2 linked regions of the Mytilus edulis genome follow. The protein of the gene in region 2 binds, or shares a complex with, the protein of the main gene of each other region. Links are inferred from orthologs where the notes say so. Each region holds a gene or a part of one and is shown on either strand. Other genes may lie near its edges. The genes, in order: superkiller complex protein 3-like and superkiller complex protein 8-like.

Region 1 (12,493 bases), on a different chromosome or scaffold from region 2:
TTCCATAAAAATTTTGTGAAGCACGCCAATTTAAATGCTTGTATTTTTGTTATTTCATGTTAAGTATGTTTCTAAGATGTTGAATTTATAAAGCATAGAATTTATATGCTATTATTTATCACAAATAAAAATATATAGTGCTATTACCATTGCTTCATTTATACAGTTATCCATAATACTAAATGAGAAGACCTTTTTTTGTGCGTGTTTCTCTGTCTTCCAGATCATATCTATATAGATGATTCTGTATCCTACCGTAAAACTAGTTTGTAATCCTTCCTAATGATTATTCATTTTTGTCGAGCCTGCAACTTTTGATGCAGAAAGCTCGACATAGGGATAGTGATCCGGTGGCGGCGACAGCGGCTACGGCGGCGGCATTAGCTCACTTCTTAAAAGCTTTATATTTTAGAATGTGGAAGACCTGGATGCTTCATACTTTGTATATAGATGCTTCATGTTACGAAGTTTCCATCAGTCACATGTCCAATGTCCTTGACCTCATTTTCATGGTTCAGTGACCACTTGAAAAAAAAGCTCAAATTTTTTGTAATGTTGAATTCTCTCTTATTATAAGTAATAGGATAACTATATTTGATATGTGCGTACCTTGCAAGGTCCTCGTGTCTGTCAGACAGTTTTCACTTGACCTCGACCTCATTTCATGGATCAGTGAACAAGGTTAAATTTTGGTGGTCAAGTCCATATCTCAGATACTATAAGCAATAGGGCTAGTATATTCGGTGTATGGGAGGACTGTAAGGTGTACATGTCCAACTGGCAGGTGTCATCTGACCTTGACCTCATTTTCATGGTTCAGTGGTTATAGTTAAATTTTTGTGTTTTTTTGGTCTGTTTTTCTCATACTATATGCAATAGGTCTACTATATTTGTTGTATGAAATGATTGTTAAGTGTACATGTCTAGCGGGCAGATGTCATGTGACCTTGACCTCATTTTCATGGTTCAGTGGTCAAAGTTAAGTTTTTGAGTTTTGGTCTTTTTATCTAATGCTATATGCCATAGGTCAACTATATTCGGTGTATGGAAATATTTTATGATCTTTATGTCAGTCGAGCAGGTTTTATTTAACTGTGACCTCATTTTCATGGTTCATTGCACAGTGTTAAGTTTTTGTGTTTTGGTCTATTTTTCTTAAACTATAAGTAATGTGTCAACTATATATGTTGTATAGAAGCATTGTTAGCTGTACCTGTCTGCCTGGCATGGTTCATCGGACCTGGACCTCTTTTTCAAGGTTCATTGGTCTTTGTTTAGTTATCTTGGTTAATGTTAAGTTTATGTGACAGTTGTAATAAAGCTTAGCTTAGGACTATCAACATAATATCAATGATTAGTATAGAAGGCGAGACATTTCAGCGTGTGCACTCTTGTTAATAGTTAGTGAATAATTTGGCAAATGCTGGGCAAAATGGCCATAGCCATCATTTAGGTATCTAGTTTATATCTTTTGTCAAATGGTTCTGTCTGCCAACTAACATTGTGAACATGGCTAGAAATATAAACAATAGTATGAGCTATGCTTATTGTTGAAGGCCGTACAGTGACCTATAGTTGTTAATTTCTGTGTCATTTGGTCTCTTGTGGAGAGTTATCTCATTGGCAATCATACATCTTCTTTTTTATATATGGGTAAATGGAAGTTTGTTAATTATTTTTAACAGCTATAGATGGAGAAAGTCTGACAGGGCAGAAATGTTTAAAATGTACTGTCCATTTCTATCAAAAATGTTTTCTGAAATAACAGTAATTAAGATAGAAAATGTAAAAAGCAAAAATGAACAGCAGGACACAATCAACAATAGGTCAAAAAGGCCAAATTTTCAAAAAAGAGATTTAAGTCATGAGTATATATTATGTTGTAGGGTGCCTAAGGGTGGCCATACCTGAAAATCCATTAAGATCCAGGTGTGCAGTGTGTAAAAAGAACTGATGCGCTTGCATTTGTTGAAGAAAAATATTATTTAAACACAAATGTTAAAACAAAATTCTACAAATGTAGTAGCTCTTCAAAGAACAAACATGGTAATACTTGACAAGAAATATCACATTTCCAAAACAAAATTGATATGTATTTTATTGGAGGCTCACATTATTAATTATTCAAAATTATGTAGATGTGGTATGTTGTAGAAGTTAAGGGCTATAGGTCAACATTGAGGAAACACTGTATTACATAGCAAACTATGGGCACTGAAATGACAAATGTAAAACAATTGAATTCTGAATCTACTAGAAAATAAATATAGAATGTTTTAAATGGATGTAACATCTGTATAGTATTTCTTCCTAGAAATGCATGAAATTCTTGTCACTTGGTGTTAAGCAGGCATAGTTTCAGCATCAAACCGTGAGAATTAACGGCTCACATAAAACTTTTGTTTTAGTAACAATTTACGGTATCTAAATAAAAAGAAACAACCCTAAATGCAAAATCAATCACATTTTAAGTGCATGTAATAATAAAAGGTTTATCTATGCAACGATGTGTATTGGTTGTAATTAAAATGAGGACTAAAAGTTAAAAGATGATGAGAGTGCAGTATATGAATTAAAATTCGCTTTGTATTGGAAAATAATGATTAGGTACCACAAAAACCAATAATTCAGAGTGTTATAATTAATTGATGGAATAACATCGTTATGTTGAGCGATTAAAACAAAATTTGCAGTCTTCCCTTCATTTAACATTCGTGAATACTTCAATTCCTCTACATGAAAGGCAGATAAATGACAATCGGTTGATCATGCCGTTTTACAGTATAACTGCACAGTAACAATACTTAGACAGCAATGATGACTATCACTACGATTCTAGTATGGACAATTCTGTATACCCGGGCAATTTATTGTTCCCAGTTAGGAATAAGTTCGATTTTTGCTATGGAGAATTTAAACCAAACAAATAAAATCGTGGATAAAAATTCTATCGGAACATTTAAGACGGAAAGTATAAGAAAATGTGCGTTCCATTGCCTCCAGAACTTAGCGTGTATGGCATATTTCTACCGTCAGAATACCACTGAATGTCGACTAATGAGTGTAAATACCCCGGGAAATAATGGGAAGTGGAAAGGTGATATGGGTTGGCGGTACTATAACGTTTATGAAAGTGAGTTTTCTTTTTAAAAATTATAATAATAGCTTTTTTTTTATTTATAAAGACAACAAATTGAAATTTAAATCACCATTCAGGCCCTATATCTTCTGTTTATGAAAGCTGACTTCATTGCAAAATGTTTTAAAGGAGTTTAAAAAGTTGGTAGAGAAAAAAACTTTATGACAAGAGATATGAGTTCAGCTTGCCGATTGTGAACTTTTCCATTTTTATGTAGCAACATTCCAGCAGCACCTGTATATTGAGTATGAATTTCCCTGTTAATACGGTATTCCAAGAGCTAGCATATCCTGCTATGATTTATCCGTTAGAGAATTACTGCTTACACGGAAGTAAAAAATCCCTTCGAAAATTTTACGGATGCCACCTCTACAATGTTCTACCAAAGGGAAATATCAGTTTATTATGATATATAATCTTACTGTATCAGAAGGTTGTTTTGTTTTCATTCTGTAAAACATAACTTGATAATTTACCGAAACCCTGCTAACATCGTACCACCAAATTCGCTTTCTATATATATATATATTCTGCAGGTACTTGTCCACCTATGGATGGTTTCAACCAGAACAGGAAAGCTTCCTTATGTTACCAATACTTTGACGATCTTAAAAATGTGTATGAAGCTGACATTGCATGTCGTCGCAATGGCGGACAACTGATTAGAGTCCAAAGTCAACTACAACAGACTCATTTGATGACATATTTGGGTAAAGAACATTTTACTTCTCGATTTCATGATTATAGATACACTAGCTGGTGCCAAATTTAAGTAAGGGAGAAACGAGCACCGGACCTCTTCTTCTTTGTACAAGTACTTATGATTGGAATGATAATTGACTTTAAAGATAGCATGTGTTAGTTGTATGCATAATCTTTTGAAATATCTAGAGCATCCCCATTTTTTCTTAAGGCCCCGGACGGTTGTTATATGATGATAATTTCTACCTTATACACATATATCAATCTTATTTTCTACAGACTTACAGCTACACAGCAAGCAATTAATTAACACAATTTTCCATTTCAGATTTCTACAACGAAAATTTAGTATACATCCAAGGAAACGATTCTGCAAAGGAAGGCACGTGGGCGTTCGATGATGGACAGCTTATGAAATACTTCAACTGGAGTCCTACCACGCCTTTTGGGCATGATGCTAAAGATCATCTCGCTATGAATAAAGCATCGTCTTATGGATGGGAAGAGACAGCTGGCTCAACATTAGGAGGATTCTTATGCGAGAAAACCTGACTTGATATAAGAAATTAGTGAAAATGAACATGCAAAGCAGGATTCTATCCTGTGAATCAATGCATTTTTCACCAAAATTCATATTTAACTGTTGTACAAGTTATAAGTGAATTTTGGTCAAATTTTGTACAAATTGTAATTTGTACAGGCACTTTTTGTACAAATTATAATTTGTACAAAGGCAAAATACAAATTATAATTTGTACAATATTTTTGTACAAATTACAATTTGTACAAAATGATAACTTGTACACAACATATACATGCATTGGTTCAAGGATTGGATAAACATTATTTTTCACGGGTCACTCTTTTCTTATGACTTTAAAATTGATATTCTTCAGTCTCTAAAAACATGTCTTTAAAACTTTTTTAAAAAGTAAAATATTGAAATTGATACTAGTACTTTTTTCATTAATAGGAGGTAAAACAATTTCTTTAAAAAATGTATATACATGTAATACACATCAGCAATTGAAAGCATATGAACCCATATAAAACCAGTGCCTTGCTTTTTGGTGATTTTTTTTTTAAAGTCTGGCAAGTCTGGCACCAGAAATGTGCTACCACTTGATTCTTTAATGTCTGCATCACTTTTGCAACATTTGCAGATATATACGTTTCTGTTTGATTCAAATTTCATGGAATAAATGCTATCAATAGCTAGATTTCTATGCATCGTGTGTACACTTTTTTTTATTTACCTTATAATATTTTTTTGTGCCATAGACTTCAGATTTATATTAAAGTTTTGTCTGGCTTTCATGATTTTTTAAGGTCTTCGTTTTACGTTTCAAAGTACTCCAAACCCGGCTGTAGCTCTTCAGGTATATCAGTGGAAAATCAAGTTTGTTTGATAACAAATTTGTTGTTTTCCATTTTCGAACGTTCAATTTTCAACAAAAATTTATGTATGTATAAAAAAGAAGATGCGGTATGATTACCAATGAGACAACTCTCCACAAGAGACCAAATGACACAGAAATTAACAACTATTATAGGTCACCGTACTGCCTTCAACAATGAGCAAAGCCCAAACTACATAGTCAGCTTTAAAAGGTTCCGAAATGACATATGTAAAACAATGCAAACGAGAAAACTTACGGCCTAATTTATGAAGAAGAAAAAAATGAACGAAAACAAAAAATATGTAACAAATGACAACCACTGAATTACAGGCTCCTGACTTGGGACAGGCACATACATACAGAATGTGGCGGAGTATTACATGTTAACCTGGGACAGTGGTAACAGTACAACATAAGAACGAACTATAGAAATCTGTTGAAAAAGACTTAACTTATCAGATGGATACAAATAACATACATCTAACAAAAACACAGTACATGTAAATTAAATGAGCGCAATCCACTAAAATTGAATGACTACGAAGAAGGCGAAGAATAAAAGGTTATTGACATCTAGCCACATATATCATTTGTGCTAGATAGTTTTCTTTAAAAAAAAAATTCATATAGTCATGATTAAAAATCTGAAATAAGACTGGCAAAATAGCAAAACTCTATATAAATGCAAGGAGGCTAGTATTATGCCGGAGCCACCCAAATAGCACCCAAGAGGCTATTTTGCCGGAGCCGGCAAAATAGCCACTGCCTTCATTTTTATCAATAGAAAAATTGAAAGTTCCAATATAACACTTAATTTTGGTTGAAGGACTATAAAAGTGTACTAGCTGACTGTCACACCTTTCAATCAGACTTACATAAATTGGAACAATGGGAGCAAGAATGGCTTTTGTCCTTTAACCCAGACAAATGTGAAATCATCCACATAACAAGAAAACATAAACCAATCATCTATAAATACACATTACATGATGATATTTTAAAATCAACAAACAAAGCAAAATGTATTGGCGTTTCCATCACTAACGATCTGACATGGAATTCTCATATAAATAACATCACACATAAAGCAAAAGCCTCGCAAAAGCATCACTGAGATTTATTAAAAGAAACGTCAAAACTACCGTGACAACATAAAAACAAAAGAACTGGCTTACAAAACATATGTCAGACCAAAAAAAGCATACTGTAGTTGTTTTGGACCCCTGGCAGAAACAACAAATACATAAAATTGAAATGGTTCAGAGAAGAGCTGCCAGGTATACACTTAATTAAAATTCAACATCAATTAGTTTCCATCGGCCAGTCAATAAATACCTAATACCATCAAAAGAACATAAATTCATACACCCATTCTCTCCCACAAATTATCATTTATATTCATTTTTTTCCTAGAACAGTAAGGTTGTGGAATTCTTTACCATGATGCCAAGTAGCCTGTAGCCCAGACTTTGAAGCCGATTTAAGTCTGGTGCAAAACCACATATGTATTGCTAAATCAAATCATGTTTTTATCTATTTACTAAAAAAAAATGTTTTTGAAATAATTGTAAATATGTTAAGATTTTAATTTGTTTCTCTATTATGTGCCTTCTTGTAATCTTCAACATATTGAAGTTAAGAAGTATTAAAAGTAGATGTAGATGTAGAAGTGGAGGTGTGTCTATATTGGGAGAAGAAAAAGATATACAGATACAGACCATCCATCATCGTTACTCTCCCCTATCTTCAATCCTCTTTTCTTTCATTTTTTTCTTTTTTCACTGTTTCATCTCTTCGGAGTTACAGTAGTCTTACTAAAACAACGAGCCTTGGTTATACAAAAGTAATGAAAGATACAGCAGTTCTGGAAGTTCTATAAACTGTGTAAGCTATAAATTTAAGATCTTTCATTTTTTTCCCTGTTTGATGACGTTTTTACGGTTCTACAAATTGAAACTGAAAGTGAAAATAAATCACTCTGTCCGAGTGGTCTCGAGAAGTGTGCAAGTTTATACACCTATCTTCAAAACAGGAATGCATATAACCAACGTACACAAGAAGATGTACTTATTTTGATTACCAGCTGAGTGAGGTAGGGACCAATCACTCAAATGGGATATTATTACAGGGTGCAAGTTTTTACCCCAATATAGAGTTGGGGTGGGGGTAACATGAATGACCGAATAACACTGTTAATATCCGAATTACACTTGTAATGACTAAATAGCACTAGAAATTTTAATATTAGCACCGATATATGATATTGGTGACTTTTAAACATTGATTATTAAATAATAGTATATTATCGATGTATTTTATAATGTAATAATGATTTACAGAAAGCAGATGAGTTCATAAAGAACTTGTTGAATTTAGTGTGTACATTCAACATGGTGACCGCGGAAATCACAATGGCTGCCATGTTGGAAGAACACACTAAATTCAAAATGATCTTTATGAACTTATTTGCTTTCTGTAAATCATTTTAAGTTATTAAATACATCAATATGTATCCCAATATGGGGTAACACGAATGACCGAATAACACTGTTATTATCCGAATAACACTTGTAATGACCGAATAACACTTGAAATTTTGATATAAGCACATATTGGTGACTATTAAACATTGATTATTAAATAATAATGAATTATCGATGTATTTTATAACTTAAAAATGATTTACAGAAAGCAGATAAGTTCATACAGATCATTTTAAATTTAGTGTGTACATGTATATCCAACATGGCAGCCATTGTGATTTCCGTGATTATCATGCTGGATGATTCAGAAAATTGGCCAAAAATCATTGTTCCTTCTTCTGTCCTTTGTGGTTAGTGCTGAAAATCTGCTGGTCCTCACTTTTAATTCTATTGAAAAATACTAAAATTGTGTTGGTCCTATTCAAAATTTTGGTGGTAAAATCCTGAGGACCACCACTTTTGGAGAACTGAGGCTGCCGGCGAATATGTGCACCCCACTCTACACACACGTACCCCAAAAAACAGTTTCCTCGTATTTTTATTGAATATTCATGTTATTTTAAAAGCATTTAAATGTTATTTTTTAAAAGACATCAAACTTAAAATGTAATTTAACAAATATATTTAATTTTGAATAACTTTGAAATTTATTTTTAGCTCCTTCATATTTAAGATTTGTTCAATAAAATTTGCGTTTTCTGAAATAAAAATTGAAAAATTAAATTTTTCGCCAACTTTGAAATATTTTACTGAAATTTTGAATTATTTGTCTGGAATAAATTTAGAAAATTTTCTCCTACATTTGTCCTAAATCATGTAAATGAAATAAGATTTTTTAATTTTTTACAAAAGTTTGACCTAAACGATACCATTATAAGACATTGTAATTTCACCAACTGTAAGTGGCAAGCTACTTGTACATGTATATCAGTTTATATTTTTCTGTCTTCTTTTTTTTGGCTTCATCTTGGGAAATGGATAGTTTCCATTCCAGACAGAAAAGACGCAAACAAAAAATAATTAAAATATTTATCTATATACCGATAATAAAAATAGACAAAATCTTTTAATTTCATATGGAATGGACAGAGGGAACAATTTTTGCTGATGGGTTTATTCAAAAGATTTCCTGTTTTGTTAAAATTAGGTAAAGCTTGCCTCAGGATTTTTAGGACCGCAAAAATTTTTGTGGTGTTACATTTGTATATTGGTATCACGTCGTCTTCGTCATTGCCTGAAGACACTTGGTTTCCAGACAATAACTTCAGTTTAAGTGAATGGATCTCTTTAATTTAAACACAAATTTTGAAACCACAAAAGAAAGTTTGGAATTGATTTTGGAGGTTATATGGTGCCAACAGTTTAGGAAAATTAGGACCCAAAAGGGTCAAAATAAGCACTTTTCTAGTTTCCAGACAAAAAATTGTGTATTAGTTTATGGATCTTCTGAAATTGTACCACAAGGTTCCATATGACAAAGGGAAGGCTGGGATTGAGTTTAAGGGTAATTGTTTCCAGACAATTACTTGAGGTCAAGTGAATGGATCTCTCTGAAATTCTACAGCAAGGTATCATACCTCAAAGGGAAAGCTAGGATTGAGTTTGTGGGTAATAACTGGAAAGGGGGGAGGGGTTTAAGTAAAAATGGGGGTTCAACCTTTGGGGGTGGGTGGGTAGGGGGAGGTAAAAAATTTTCATATTTTTATTTTTTTCTTAAAATTTTCCATTTTTCCATTGATTTATAATTCTTATTTGTATATTGAAGTAAAAAATACTGATATGGCAGAAGATCATCATCATCATCATACACCAAATATGATGTGTAAATTATTAAGTAAAGTATTGTGCAATAGCATTGTATATTAAAGTAAAAAATACTGATATGGCAGAAGTTACACACCAAATATGATGTGTAAATTATTAAGGACAGTATTGTGCAATAGCAGGAAATCTCCAATTGCATAGTATTGCACTATAGCACAGTATTGTGCATTAGCCAGAAATCTTCAATTGCACAGTATTGCACTATAGCACAGTTTTGTGCATTAGCAAGAAATCTTCTATTGCACAGTATTGCGCAATAACAAGAAATTTTCAAAACACACTATTGACAATATTGTGCAATAGCACATCTTCAATTACACAGTATTGTGCAATAGCAGGAAAATCTTCAATTGAAAATTAAAACAAAAATTTCAACCCATTTCAATTTTTAAGATCTTTCACCACATTTATTTTGTGTCATAAACCTATATTATATCAAAAATTTAATCACAATCCAAATTCAGACAGTATCAAGCTTGAATATTGTGTCCAAACATGCACCAACTGTTCAGGGTTTGACCAGGACGACTGCAGATGTATAAGGCTGCGCTCAGCGAAGCATTTTATTATATCAGTGCAATGGATTTTTTCTCTCAGATAAATGGATACTAAAGAAATAAAGACTGCATTGAAAAATGCTAGAGAGTGTATCAGAGAAAAGCAATTTAAAGAAGCCCTCAAACATTGCAAGGTAGGAATTATAACTTTATCCTCATATCATGCATATTGAAAGTATATATCATGTTTGTTTACATATTAGAGCTAGGTTTATTTTTTGGGGGAAAGACGGCTTCAAGCCGTCAATCCCCTATGGGGTTGACCAGAGTGACATTCCCTCACATCATTCATTTTGTTTTTATAGTGTGGAAACCCCCCCAACAAATCTTACTGAGATTGGTGAGAAGGAAACACACAAATGAATAGATTGACTTTAAACACTTTTTTTACACATTTCCCTTCTGTTTCTCGCGAAATTATCGTATCTAGAGCTCTCCTTTACACTATTTACGTTTCTTTTACAATCCGGAAAAATCATACTGACGAGATATTCTAAATATATCCAACCTACATTATATTTTATAGTGACATCATTGTTGGGATGCCACACTACGCAGAAGCAGGGATATCCTTCACTGGTTATTTGAATCATTCTCAAAGATCGTGCACTAATTAAAAAATGGTATTTGTTAAATTTAAACATAATTATGTTTGCTGTAGATGATTCAAACATCAACGTGCAATACTTTAATTTGTAGGTCAACAACTTTCAAAGTAAGCAAAGTCCGTGGGGATACATGAGATTGGGGAGAGAAACATTTTTTTCCTTTTTTTTCTGTAAAACTCTGTTTTGAGCATCTTCCTCCAATTCAGGAGCACCTCAATTGATGAGTAATTATCCACTAAAATAAACACTTCAAAATGTGACATTTAGCATATGATTAGTAGTCTTTCATTAAAACTAAATTTTGTGTACCAACATAATCATTGTTATGGTAACAGAAAAAAAATAATTACAAATTTTGTAGTTTAAACCTATTTACATGTATTCATGAGATTTACAAATATTTCAAAATGTAGGATTTGGAAACAAGCTTCACACTGTTTACATCAATCATATTGTTTTTTATTAGTACCTGTATCCCTGTGATGAGAGTTGTAACTGGGAACTTTATCAATTGAAATTTAAAACTGAATAGATTTTTCAGTCCTAACTTTCTTAAGAAAAAATTAAAAAAGTTTACTGTCACAAAAAATGGAAAATGGCCCTTGCCTGCAGTTCAGTTGTACACTATTAAGATTTCAAAAAATATTGTAGTTGTTGTTAAATGACAGAATTCAGTGAAATTTTAGATAATTAGCTATCAACTATAATCGAATGTTTAGATTTAGAAGATGCAGATCTCTTCCATTGGTCCAAATTGAATCCTAAACTAAGGAAACAAAATTACATTAAACAACAATTGATTTCAATATTGTATCAAAAATAAATAGAAACAAGGGCTGTCTTTCCCCTCAGAGCTATTCAGCTCTTTGATTGTAAAATAGATACAAAGGATATTCTAATTCCTTGAAAAGGATGAAGTTTTATGTAGTGTCAATGTAGATTATTGTTATTTTTTTGTATTAAAAGGAAAAACAAATGTCAATATCAAATTGAGAATGGAAATGGGGAATGTGCCAAAGAGACAACAACCTAACCAAAGAGGAGAAAACCATTAGTACCCGGAGCTTCCTTTTGGAAATCTTTAGTTCAAAATATAGATAAATGAATTATCAAAATTTATGCACATCATATGTTAGAATCAATGTCAATACTTAGGATATACCAAAGAAGTACTAGTACTGTCAAGGTAACATGGGTAAGAAATATCAGAGTGTTCTTTCTAAAATTCTAATTCATAGATGACATATCACATTAAGAAGGTAACATATTAAGAATCCTATCACAAAACTATTTACCTTTACAGACAGTTTTGGCACAGGATAAGAATAATTATAATGCCTTGGTGTTTGTTGGTGTGGCTGCTGATGGAATGGAACAGTTTGATCAGGCAGAGAAAGCATACAAAAGGGCAACAGAAGCTGCTCCTGATCAGGTTTTAGCATGGCAGGTAAGTGTTCAAGCACACAAACAGGCAACAGAAGTTGCCTTTGTTTAGATTTTAGCCTGTTTGGTAAGTTTTAAACAATACAATTACAAGATACTGGCAATATGAATTGAGCACCAGACTTGGTTAATATTTACAAATTTTTTACGTAAATGTTTAATCAAATGTTGAGAATGCAGGGTCTGTTTTATAGGTAAATCCTTTTTGGGGATTTTTTGCATACATTTGTTTTTAAAATGAATTTACTTCTGCTTTATACTTCTACATGTTCTACATGAATATGACATAAGGGAACCATTATTTAAAAATATTGATTTCGAAGCACCATGAAAGTTG
Region 2 (12,548 bases):
TGTCAAAAAACATTCTCAGTAGTAATCTTTAAGAAAAGGTGCAAAGGTCGTCTGAAACTAAAAGTGCAGTGATAGTTATGCTCCAAGCTAACAGTGACTGATCTATAGTTGGAGAACAGTAATAAAGGCATTGTTCTTTCCATTTCATTTTTTTGTTATCTCCAGGTAGAATTTTTGTGTTACTCAAAAAAAAAAAACACATATAAAACCTTACCTGGACCTGCATCAATACTTTTAATACATTTGCCTGTGATGATATCCCATACTCTTACATGGCTGTCTAAACTACTGGAAGCAGCCACTATCAATGGGTTAAGGAATAGTTTTCTTTTGAACTTGAACTACTAAAAGGGGGGTGCATACTATACATAACTGTGTACTATACACAGCCAAACACGGTAAATGATCTTGTAGTAACTTGCTTGTTGACATTTCAGAATGTCAATCACTTACATAGCAGGATCTACTTACCCTTAAGGAGCACTAAATCACCTCATGTTATTGGTGGGGTTTGTATTACTCAGTGTTTAGTTTTCTATGTTGTGTTTTGTGTACTATTGTTTGTCTGTTGATCTTTTTCTTTTTCAGTCATGGCATTGTAAATTAAGTTCCACTTATGAGTTTGGATGTTTTTGTTAATGTCTACAGGAAAAACACCAAGCTGACATTCTTTGTCTTTTTTTATTTTAAATTTGTTAATGTTGTACTGTTGTCTATTTTATTTTACTTTTTGATTGGTTCCTTATTTATTTCATACCCCTTTTTTATTTTCTTATTTATTTTTAAAAAGGATACATGTTCCGTTTTTGTTAATGTCTACAGAAACAACACCAAGCTGATGTCCTTCTAAGGCATGTCGTAGATCTAATCTTCCGTCTGTCCTGTAAAATAAGAGAAAATGAAATTATCATCCAAAAGGTTAAAAAAAATTAAATATGTAAATTGTAACATATATATATTAAGGGTGTTCGCTTCTCTTGTTTTTTAATTGTTGTCAGATTTTCAGAACCCTCTGGTTTTATCCATTTAGTACTATCAAAATGATTTACCCACTATCCCCTACTTTTCTTTTCGTAATTTGATTACATTTTAAAATGTCTTTTTTGAAAATCTTATAAAATCCTTACCATTTTTTCATCATTTTTCAAAGAAAAAGACGCCAATGTTAAGTGTATGAAAAATCTAGAGAGAATCACTTCCCACCAAATTTTCAAAAGCTTATACTCAGAAAACAACCAAACTGAACCTTTATTTGTTCCTGCTTTTTAGGTTCCTTTATTTCAAAACTAACAATTAATTACAAGCTTTTTATTTTGAAACAAAGTAACCAACAACCTTAAGAAATCTCATGTGCAACTCAATATATCAGTGGCCACATTTTCTAGAAGTATGTCATCTGCAAACATTTCACTGATCATTTAAATGCATATTGTACAACACCTGAATCTTAAATAACCAATTGATCCAACTTTAATTTTAGTTCTTTAATATGTTTATGAGTTTAGTGTGACTTGAACTTTTCACTGAAAATTTGTGTTAAGCATGTTTAGGGGCCACCTAAGGCCCACCTCCATGTATGGAATTTTCTCACTGTATTGAAGACAGATTAGTGGCCATAGGCTATTTTTTGTTCCTTTGTCGGGTTGTTGTCTCGCAGACACATTCCTCAATATTATTTTAGAATATACATATTTTCAAATATATAAGTTTCAAATTCCTTGTATTATTTTTTTTACAATTAAAAATATATATAAAAGTGTAAATAAAAATATGATATTACAGATAAAGTTAATCTTAAATAATAATTTTACCATCTCCATATTTTGACGAGATCATCTATTCCCCCTGTTATAATGTTCTCAGATCCATCTGTTTCATTTTTCTTCCAAGCACAACTCCAAATACTGTCTTCATGTGCTATAAAATAACAAAATTATTATAAGCATCATTGAAGGTGGTTACGGTGGTACCCAACACTTTGACTGTTATTAATTTGGTTCATTTAATTTTCATAAAGTGTTGACAAAATGTTAACTTTGACCCCTTGACAAAAATATAAAAATTTTAAAAAATTTGAACTAACCACTTTATCAGAAAAAAATCAGTTTATGTAGCAGTTTGACAAACACTATTTTTCATCACTGAGAAGCTTAATATTTCCTTAACCAGGTTAACAATAAAATGTTGAACTCATTTTTACTGAGTTATCTCCCTGTAGTGTTAGGTACCATCTTAAATTCAATTGTTAACATTTACCATGATTTTTGTCAGATAATTGGAATCCTTTGGTTTTATCCATTTTGTTCCATTACAAACTTTGTCTGCTAAAACCTACTTCTCGTTTCTTTACTTTATAGCATATATCACGACGTATATACTTAGTTTAAAATCTTATAAAATCCTTGTGTTCTTTTCATACAGTTTTTTGAAAGAGAAAAGGTGTTTTAAAATTAAATGAATGATAATACTAGAGATAATCATTTTCCACCAACTTTTCATGGCTTACATGTATATCTTAAAAATATGCATACAGACCTTAATTTTTTTCTGTTTTTTAGTTCTGATTTATATATTTGTGTTGCTTAATCTTCAGTTTTCTATTTTGTGTCTTGTGTAGTGTGTACTAACTACTTATCTGTTTGCCTTTTTTCTTTATTAGCCATGGCGTTGTCAGTTTATTTTTGATTTATGAGTTTGACTGTCTCTTTGGTATCTTTCGACGCTCTTTTATCATGTTTATAAATATATATGTACTCAGATTTTATAGAAGTCTTTTGAAACATTGTACTTAATGAAATTCATTAGTGATAGAAAGTTATATCTGATTTGTGAATTAACAATGATTAAACTCACCTTGTTCCTGTTTGAATATCAGGGAATACTACAAAGATTAAAAATAATTAGGTTAACAGGAAATATTATTTTATCATGTTTTTAGGTCAAATGTCATGTGCTCAATTTTGTTTAAATATCCAACTTTTGATGGTTGGTGTGAATGCCAGTGAAAAACCAGAGAGCTACGTTTTAAATTGTTACAGTAAACATGGTAAAATATAAATCAACACAAATTTATCTAATTCATTCAAGGTAATGTTATTAATCTTGAGCCTATTAAACCTGCTGTATATTTTATAATACTTAAGTCTTTTGTTGGTGTGGTTCATAGGTGTTTTGCTTTCCTTGTTCTGTATATAGATAAGACAGCTGGTTTTGTGTTGACATTGTTTTACAGTCAACGACAGTGGTCATTTTGGTGACCTTTATAGCTTTCTGTTTATTGTATATATATATGCATGATATGTGAGCATAAGTGTTTTGTTCAACATGTTCAAACTTCAAGGTAGTAGTTTGACCTGTAATTTTTAATTTAAAATACATTGGCACTCTAACCACACCTTCTTATTTTTTATCATTACAAAAATGTGGACTTTTTTCAAGTAATCCGAACCATGATTTCTGATTCTAACATGCTAACGGGCTACAAATATATGCTATTCCATCTGCTTTGCTTTGTTATATTTCATTGCATTTCGGTATATTTTGTTTTGATTCCATTTCTCACTTTATAAATATCGGGAAAAATCATCTAAACATTTTAACATGTTTAATAAAATAAAAAAATCTCTTTCAACATGTTCAAAGACCAAATGAAAAAAAAAGAGTTTGGCTTTATGACTTTGCAGGTAGGCGTCAAAGCAAATATTAAAATAGTCTTTATTACAAGACGTCATAATTATTTGGACTAGTAAACTAGGGTATTAAAACTTGTGGAACTCATGTACACAATGACATTGTCAATGTGCTGAAAACGCTTTTAAAAAAAAAACTTTAATAGGCCAGTTCCCGGGATACAGTTTTCAGACGAATCTGTCATGTGACTTTCATCACCACCTGACAAAAATGTATGCATAGAAATTTCCAGCACATGTTGAGCAAACGGGTGAAAAAGTCTTATTTTATATTGCACAAAATATTTGGGAAATTAAAATCTAAAAGGATGGTCACCCTCACTCAATCCTATGGCAATCACGATTTATATGTACTTACAGAACATTAATTATTTCTATACTACCCTACAGAATGACGATTATGAAAGTGCTGGAAACTTTTTATAGACAGGGATGCAGGCGCGCCTTCTATCTGCAGACTACGCGAATGAATTTTATTTTTACAGGACATTCGGTCTGGTAAGCATCCTAGCTTTACCAGACCGAATGAAATTTTACCAGACCAATTTTTTTTTACATCTAATTGTATATTATCCGACAAAAAACAACAAACATATGACTTTGTTGTGCCGGCCTACTCCTCACCAAAATGCACAAATTAAAACAAAATGATGTAACAAGAGGGGATATTGTTATGAAAGTTGTGCACAATTGCTTGAATGCATTTCAGTGAAGAGTAATGTCCCATTTTATTGGATTTTGACAATGTTTGTGAACTAAACATAATTTAGAGTTTCTGTATAAAATATTATTTTTTGTTTCTTCTTTCTTTTTCATATATCTTTTGGTTTTCAATTCTTGTGGTTATATTTCATAGCTAAATTTTGTGATCTGCTTGGATTTTTATTCATTTATTGTATTTAAATCGGCAAACCCGGAATTATCCTTATCCGTTCCCAGAATCTGATCCGGTTTTATTTGCATTTCCGGTTGTGCCAATGATGGCATCCATTGTTGTTTTTGACAGTCAGATATGTTTTTACCCGGATTTACACATTACTGGTTGTCGATGTTCGGCATAAAGCTAGCGGTTGAACAAAATAAACATCGCTGTGATGAATAATAAAGATGAAAATGAATTTGAGATTGTTTGGCAATTTTGCTAGAATGTTCCATGAAAAAAAAACACCGGACATTCGGACCGGAATTCAACAAAATTTTACCAGACCGATCCATTATTTACCGGATTTGTCCGACGGTCCAACGTATTTCGTGTAGTCTGTATCTGGTAAATGACGTCATAAAGGCATGCAAAATTGACGATCTTTTCCGGTGGAAGACATGATTCCAGAAATGACCTGTATGTGGGTCTCATTGGGGTTTAAGCATGATATTATTCTAGAGTGATTTTCTGATTTATCAATTACTTTGTTCTTTTTTTATCGTGTTTATTAACAGCCACACCAGCTGTTCTCCACAAATTCATCTAACTCATTATTAGCCTATGTACATAGTTTTAATCACCTTTTTAAAAAAGTTAAATTACGCACCTCAAATTTATTTCCATATATTTTTGTCTTTGTCTTTGTAAATATATATATAGGCCACGCTGCGCGCGCAAACAGTAAATAATCTTCAGATCATTGAAGGACTACTGAAAACCTAAAGAAGAAGAAGCCACTGACACTGTGGATGATGTGGAGCCTGGAGGAGAGAAAAAGAGTAATGACACTATGTCAACAGTAAGGATCTGAGTAACAGTCACTTAACTGATTCATCCGGTGTGTAGTTAAAAGCAATATACGAATGATCTTTAATTGTCTATAATATAAAAGCAATTTCTTTTCCTTACCAACTGATTCGCCATCCCGTTGCCGGTGGCTGTGTAGTCAATAGAATGTTTTGTTTCCCATTCGGTTTTACTGTTAGATTAAACGCGCACCTGTCTAAGATAAAAATTTATAGTCTCTAACAAAATATTGTTTTGTTAAATTCTTGATTTGATCTGTTAAATTACATTTATATAACAGTTATTACTATAAAATTATTATTAAATAAAATATGATATATTTCTCTTTAAAAATATATACATCTATAAAATATTTATAAATTTTTTAATTTGGTTTCAAGACTGTTTACAAATGGCGACCGTAGATGTAAACAAATCAACAAAACTATAGACATAAACCTTTTTTTTCTGTCCAATACATTATATTGTACGTTATCGTTTACAATCATTAGTATTCATACACAAGTAGCACTTTATTCAGGAACAATTATCATTAATAGTTTCCTTTGACCAGATGTCGATTTAACCAGGGTCCGATTTGACTATAGCTAGCTTTGTGTATTTTACTATTTAACCCCTTCTACACTAGAAATACACGCAGCACGTTCTAGTTCGGCTCTGTTATGAATACGGGATCTGCTCAGACTCCTGTCGTCCTGAGTCCCGTACAATTAATCAAGATACCTTGGCACCAATAAAATGGGTGCCAGGCAATTCAGCATCAGCAAAAGACCTCATGGGCTAAATACCAGAGAAAGACAATTTGGTATCAAGACAAATCGGCACCGCATAACACTTCTGTTAGTCCGAGATTACTCTGAAGTCCAACAGACAAGATGGGCCTTGGAAGTCGGGCCTGTCCCATATTTTATCAAAAAGTGGATATTCGCACATCCAACATAGATGTGCTGCTTCATCGCTTCTGGTCCCGGCTAAAGGACTTGGAATTATATTATTATAAATCAAGTATCAATTTGTTCATTCTTCAGTTATCTCTTCGTTTATGTAAGTTTCATCTTCCTACCAACCTTTATTTTCTCATATTTAGACAGTTCTCACAGCAACCCATCGATTCAGACATTTTTACTTTTATTTTCAAATGGATGTCAAGTGATGAGAGACTTCACTGTCTCAAGACTGAAGTATGCAAATATTTATGCTAATTTTGGTATTCTGTATATTTCTTCACCCCCTTTATAGGAGATCGGTATTAAACACTTATAGTAGCCAACATTGATAACAATTGGAAGAACTCGGACATTTACCTTACTTGCATTGTAAATGAACGAGGTGTCAGATTATGTACATGTATTCATATCAACCTAGGGTCAATTGCATAAATCAGCTCCCATAACCCATTGTTCCTTACTTTTTCTCTTTAATCACATGACAATCTTTCAAAATGAAAGTTAAAATGCCTGAATCGATGGGTCACTGTAAAAACTGTCTAAATACACGTATGAGAAAATAAAGGGTGGCAGGTAGAAGAAATATTCATAAATGAAGAAGGAACAAATTGATACCTGATTTATATAATTCCAAGTTGGTTAGTCGGCACCAAAAGTGATGAAGCAGCGCCTCTACTTTGGACGGGCAAATATCCACTTTTTAATATGGGACGAGTTCTGACGTCCCCAAGCCCAGCTTGTCTGGCCAAATATAGCATTTGGACATCAGAGTAATCTTGGATTACACTTCGGTTTATATTCCACTATGAGGGTCGTAATGACCTTCATGACAAATGATGGTTTAAAATTTTTATAATACTAATAGTTGGTATCAGCTATTGAAGGGACAACCAACTTGCTATTATTACCAGTCTTTAGGTGTTTTATTATACAAAATAAATAAACTTTCTAAAATTCAACGTTCATAATCTAAAAGAAAACTAAAATGTCAAATAAACATGCCCAAAATTAACTATAATTTATTTTTAAAGTCTGTGTTGCATTTGTAAATATTTCATTTACTACAATCAAGACTAGGAATACTTGAGTTAAGATTTCTGTGCAGCTCATAAATTGTAGCTAAATAAGGCTAAAGTACATCAAACACAACAGTTTATAAAGACGTCGACAAACCCATATACATTTATTATATTTTAGATCTTTTAAAAATGTGTCCCGAAGATTTTCTTTCTCTTTTAAATTTGCTTCTGGTTAGTAATATCATGAATATGTTAATTTGAAATTACGACAGACACAAGCAGCAGTCAGTACCCCTGACTGAACAGATTATACCATTTACGATATATTAGAGTTTGACATTGCCAAGCGTACAAACCCATGCAGAATAGTTTATGACATCATTATTGTCCAATGAAAAATAAGTAAGGGAAATATAATTATAAAACTATTAACCAGGGTAATAGTTTTTGAAACCATTGACTAGCAAATAGTCTATGGAATGAAATAACACATCTTTTTCATTCTTTTTTATATAAACATACTGATCGACAATGATCGAGGTACATGTATAATAATAATTTTTGTTGCATGACAATAAAATGTACACTTTCTTTTTAAGACAATGTTCATTATGTGAGAACTCTGACAATATATATCTCAATACTAAAAAAGGATAATCTGATGAATCACATTAAATTTTGTAACTATTTGCCGAAATTGACCGTTTGTTCCTACAAAAAAGCACAGATTTTAGTAGCCCACACCATTTTTTAGGGAATATTGGCTAAAGGGTTCCTGCTTATTTCAAACCCTTCCTTCTCCTTTTAATTTCTAACTAAATATTAATTTGGAAATTTTAGAAAGTTAATTAGCAACATGCATTCAGAAGATTCTGATGACGATATGAATGTAGGAGCTCCCATGATGGTGGAGGTCAAAGGTCATAGTAGAACACCACGGCAACATTCACAAAGGTCACTTCACAGAGATTCAGATTCAGATGAAGAGAACAGGTGAGTGCATGTATCTAAAATTAGTAATTTAGATAAAAATGTGCAGCACTACAGAATTCATGAATTTAATAAGATTTGGAATGGAAATGGGGAATGTGCCAAAGAGACAACAACCCGACCAAAGAGCAGATAACAGCCGAAGGCAACAAAGGGGTCTTCACTGCAGCTAGAGTATCCTGCACCCTGATGCATGCTTTAGCTATTACAAAAATATATCGATGTAATATATATGCTTAATATCCAAGATGATGTTTCAATTGTCAAGAAAATTACATAACTTTTGTAAGGTGCAGAAATCTAACATCTGTTCTAAAAATATAAATGATGTCATTGAATTTGTTAAAGTCATCTTTTAAGAATTGGAGTTATCTTCCTTTGTCTAGAATTGCTATTAAATCAACTACAACCAATACAATAATTAATTGTACTTCCATATCATCAGCATATGATAAATTGAAACAATCTTTTCCAGTCAGTGCCACCAAGCACTTTGATTAATTTTTACAAATTATTCTCCAGATATGAAGATGACTATGAGGATGATATGACCACAGCTAGATCAGGGAGGACAACAAGTAGAAAGAAAAAGCCTGGGAAGAATGGTCGTCATGGGATAGATATGACACCACCTGACAAACTTCTCAAACAGGCAGTTAAAAGGATTGGAAAATTCAGAGAAAATGAAAAAGTATTAATTATTTTGATTAAATTTCTGCCAAAAAAATGCTTCATTAATATCTACTGTATATTCAGAATGTATTGTGTGCATTTATTATGGCGATTTTATCATTTTAGACTAAGATTTTAAATTTTGCGATATTCAGAAAAATCCTTTTGATACATATAAAAATTTCAGAATGCAAGTTTTAATTTTGTAAATGCAAAACTCACCCTGTCCCATTATAAGTATTTATAAAATCATAGCAATAAAATTTGAATTTACAGAATATCATCTCTTTAGCAAAATTAGCTTGTTTTTATTGAGATATTTGACATGATTAATATTGAACATGTTAAATGGATATTCCAGCATTCAAGTATGAAAAAAAATTGGAAGAAAAGTTTGGTCTGATTTATAACAATAAGTTAAAATTTATGTTTTGCAAGCTTACTTATCATGAAACTCAAAACTTTCACATGCTTAGATTAATTAGTAATGATTTTCATCTAAATTTAAGGGCAACATAGGGGCTCACAGACTTTAATAAATGATAATTTTATTCTTACAATTTTAGCATGATGAAGCTATCAGAGAACTGGTGCGATGCATAGCACTTACCAGGATTGTTTATGGTGCTAATCACTGGAAGTTAGCAGAAAGCCATGCTGATCTGGCCGAAGCGTATCTAGATCTTAAAGGTGTGATTATTCTGCAGGTTTAAGGTTTTATGCTTTTAAGAAATGAATGCTTCTGTTTGTAATTTTATTGGGGTGTAAAAGAGTTGACAGTAGGACATTAAATGATGATTGTAGTACAACCCAACCTCTGTTTTGGGATTGCAATTGTTTTTTTAATGTATGTGTCTGTTGTGAATTCTTCCCCCTGGTTTTGTGATATTAGCTCAGAAATTGAATTAAATCAGGATTCTTAGTTATAACTTGGAAGACCAGAAATGTCAATAATAGAAAAATATTAAATGGTTTATTTTTGGACAGGAATAATAAAGATTCAGTGCTTTTCGGGAATTTGTTATAAAAAGTTAAAAAAAAACGATAATTTTGAAGTCACAATTATTTCCAAATATAAAGCATATAAAAGAACACTAAATTTAAATTTTGGATTTTTTATACATATCTTGAAATAAATTTCAATTTCATGTTTCTTCCATTTTAGGATTAGCACCACAAGCAGACTACCACTCAGAATCAGCCAAAACCATCATGTTAAACACAGTTGCTACCTACACAACGGAACAAGAAAAAGCAGACGTCATCTTCATTTTGTTTAAGATTCATCATACTCAAGGGAGAGCACTCACAGAAATGAAACAGTACTCTGACGCAGAGAAGGCTCTGTCGAAGGCAGATAGGACCTGTCATGATTTCAGTCGGTTGACGTGTGTCAGTGATGATGAATGTGACGAGATGGAGATTAAATACTGTCATGCTACCGCTAGGTTTGTAATTTGCATTTAAATAGGAGAAATGTCTAGAGTTTTTTTTTATTCTTGGCTGTTAGCAGCCATAGTATCTGTCTGTACACTTACTTTAACTGCAAATATTTCTGCTTCTTTAAGAATCAGTTCTTACCATTTACCTCCCAGTGCATGTTTCTTTAAATTCTTTAATTAATGACAGTTTTCCCATCACACTTGCACTGTGTGATGGCGACAGTTCAAACGACAGGTCTTATAGTTAAGATTCCTGCATACTCTAAAACATTGACTAATTAGAGCAGCGGAAGACAATATTTCAATAGCAGTTCATTTATGAAGATTTTGATAATGTTCTTGATTTTCTTTACAAGAAAGTTCACATGCACAATTTGCTTTTCATTAAAACTTACTATTCAAGTACCGGTTCTGTATATAAAACATATTTGACTGTCTTTTTTTCAATTTTGAAGTTCATATGACATTAAGTTTTTATCTGTAACTTTTTATATTCAATTATGTACATGTACTAACATATATACATTGCATGTAGTACTGTAGATTCAGAAATTATTGTGCATTCATCATTTCGATTTTTGAAGAATGGAGTGGAGATTAATTATTGTGAGTTCATGAAATGTTCACTAAGAGTTCATATTATTGCAATGGTCACCCAGCCATATTATTTGCATTATTAAAAGCCTCAAAATAATTTCTGAATTTGCAGAACTGTGGTTTGATTTATCTTCATATTTATTCCCTAATAAGGAATGTTTACATTTTCATGGATATTTAATTTGGTGTTATTTTTACAAAAGTTTGCAAACAAGCTTATACAGAAAATTTGTCATTGATTTAAAATTTAATTTTGCGGTTTACCTATACACACAAAAACAAATAAAATGGTATTCAAAGTATAATAATGAATCCACAGTAATTGTTTACATAATGTAATGTATTCTACAGATTATACTGGAAACAGAAGAAGCATGCCAGATCAGCCGCCCAGTTTGATAAACTATTAGACTTAATGAAGAGACAGTATGGACCTGATTCTATGGACCTTGTTCCTATTTATCAGGAATATGGCAAAATATCCTTTTATTTATGTTATGAAAAGTCCCCTTTTTTAAATGGTTTAATACATAGATAAACTATTAAAGTTGAGGAACAAAGGAATTAACCAAAACAAAAACAAAAGTCAAAATAAAAAAAAGAAGGAAAGATCAAGTATAATAGAGAAATACAAAATGCATGAGCCTATTCATATATAAAAACTAGATTGAGGTGTCTAAAAAAAAGAAGATATCAACATCTGGTATGATTGCCAATGAAACAAGTATCCACAACACACCAAATGACACAGAAATTAACAACTATAAGTCACTGTACCGCCTTCAACAATGAGCAAAGCCCAAACTGCGTAGTCAGCTATATAAAATGTGGTGTGTTTGTTCTTGATTATCTCTTATATGTGTAAAATGCTCCAAATGACTCTTGAAACTATTATTTGTTAGCCATTTTAGTATTATAAGAAAACTGTGATTAATTTGTGTAACATAACCAAATGAACTCTATTGAAATTTGAGATATTGATAAAAAAAAAAAAACTGGAGAAAAAAGATGTGCATACATAGTACAGGAAATGAATTAATTACACCAGAAAAGGTTATATACTGTTACTGCTAACTTTCCTTAACAAGTATAAGTAGAATTGAGCAAAGGAAAATATGCCAATTATGACAAAGCCACAGACCTGTACCTACAGTCTCATACTATAGCTGGTGCTAAGTAAGTTTACAGTTTAACCTTGCTCATGACTGTTTAGGATGAGGTAACAAAATTCTAGTAAAATTGACAAAATTGAGTACCACAATGTATTCCTATTTCAGGTTAATATAAATACAGGTTTTTTTATTATTCATAAACAAAAAGTACATTTAGCAATTCATTCTCACAACACTTATTGAAATGATTGTTATTTTGAAAAATACAACTATAGAGGGCTGTTTAGTGGGATAACTGACAGCAGCTTTGATCATGGATCGTTTCTTATATTATAAAGTGAAATTTTTGCT

Evidence for each region.
Region 1: the proteins of superkiller complex protein 8-like (region 2) and superkiller complex protein 3-like are in contact, whole or in part, in a cryo-EM structure (PDB 7QDS), measured with the Homo sapiens proteins. The link is inferred for Mytilus edulis from reciprocal best matches to the Homo sapiens genes SKIC8 and SKIC3. Residues at the interface, in NP_001290176.1 of Homo sapiens: Asp16, Asp17, Trp20, Leu40, His63, Gln64, Leu65, Gly66, Leu84, Ala86, Gly105, Pro106, Val107, Trp110, His126, Lys149, Phe150, Glu187, Gly188, Ala190, Arg194, Asp201, Gln203, Tyr213, Asp218, Val219, Gln220, His221, Asn223, Leu224; in NP_055454.1 of Homo sapiens: Lys649, Leu688, Gly690, Lys691, Tyr695, Asn960, Pro963, Val967, Asn970, Lys971, Glu974, Gln994, Leu995, Lys997, Glu998, Ser1226, Asn1227, Lys1230, Lys1252, Leu1256, Lys1257, Gln1260, Lys1261, Ala1263, Leu1264, Leu1265, Pro1267, Trp1273, Lys1295, Arg1296.

What each region holds. Positions count from the first base shown.
Region 1 is NC_092347.1:76,707,310-76,719,802, reverse strand, and holds the start of superkiller complex protein 3-like, read left to right. Parts: upstream 1-6,942; 5' UTR 6,943-7,125; exon of another isoform or gene 7,126-7,333; intron 7,334-10,145; 5' UTR 10,146-10,149; coding exon 10,150-10,239; intron 10,240-12,016; coding exon 12,017-12,160; intron 12,161-12,493. Other genes in the region: galactose-specific lectin nattectin-like, read left to right, coding at 2,905-3,133, 3,676-3,849, 4,170-4,393. UniProt on the Homo sapiens protein: Component of the SKI complex, a multiprotein complex that assists the RNA-degrading exosome during the mRNA decay and quality-control pathways.
Region 2 is NC_092354.1:39,860,917-39,873,464, reverse strand, and holds the start of superkiller complex protein 8-like, read right to left. Parts: upstream 5,636-12,548; 5' UTR 5,536-5,635; coding exon 5,521-5,535; intron 2,882-5,520; coding exon 2,854-2,881; intron 1,918-2,853; coding exon 1,812-1,917; intron 882-1,811; coding exon 796-881; intron 302-795; coding exon 215-301; intron 1-214. Other genes in the region: tetratricopeptide repeat protein 23-like, read left to right, coding at 6,157-6,257, 8,225-8,377, 8,897-9,065, 9,613-9,736, 10,212-10,494, 11,437-11,579, 12,180-12,261. UniProt on the Homo sapiens protein: Component of the PAF1 complex (PAF1C) which has multiple functions during transcription by RNA polymerase II and is implicated in regulation of development and maintenance of embryonic stem cell pluripotency.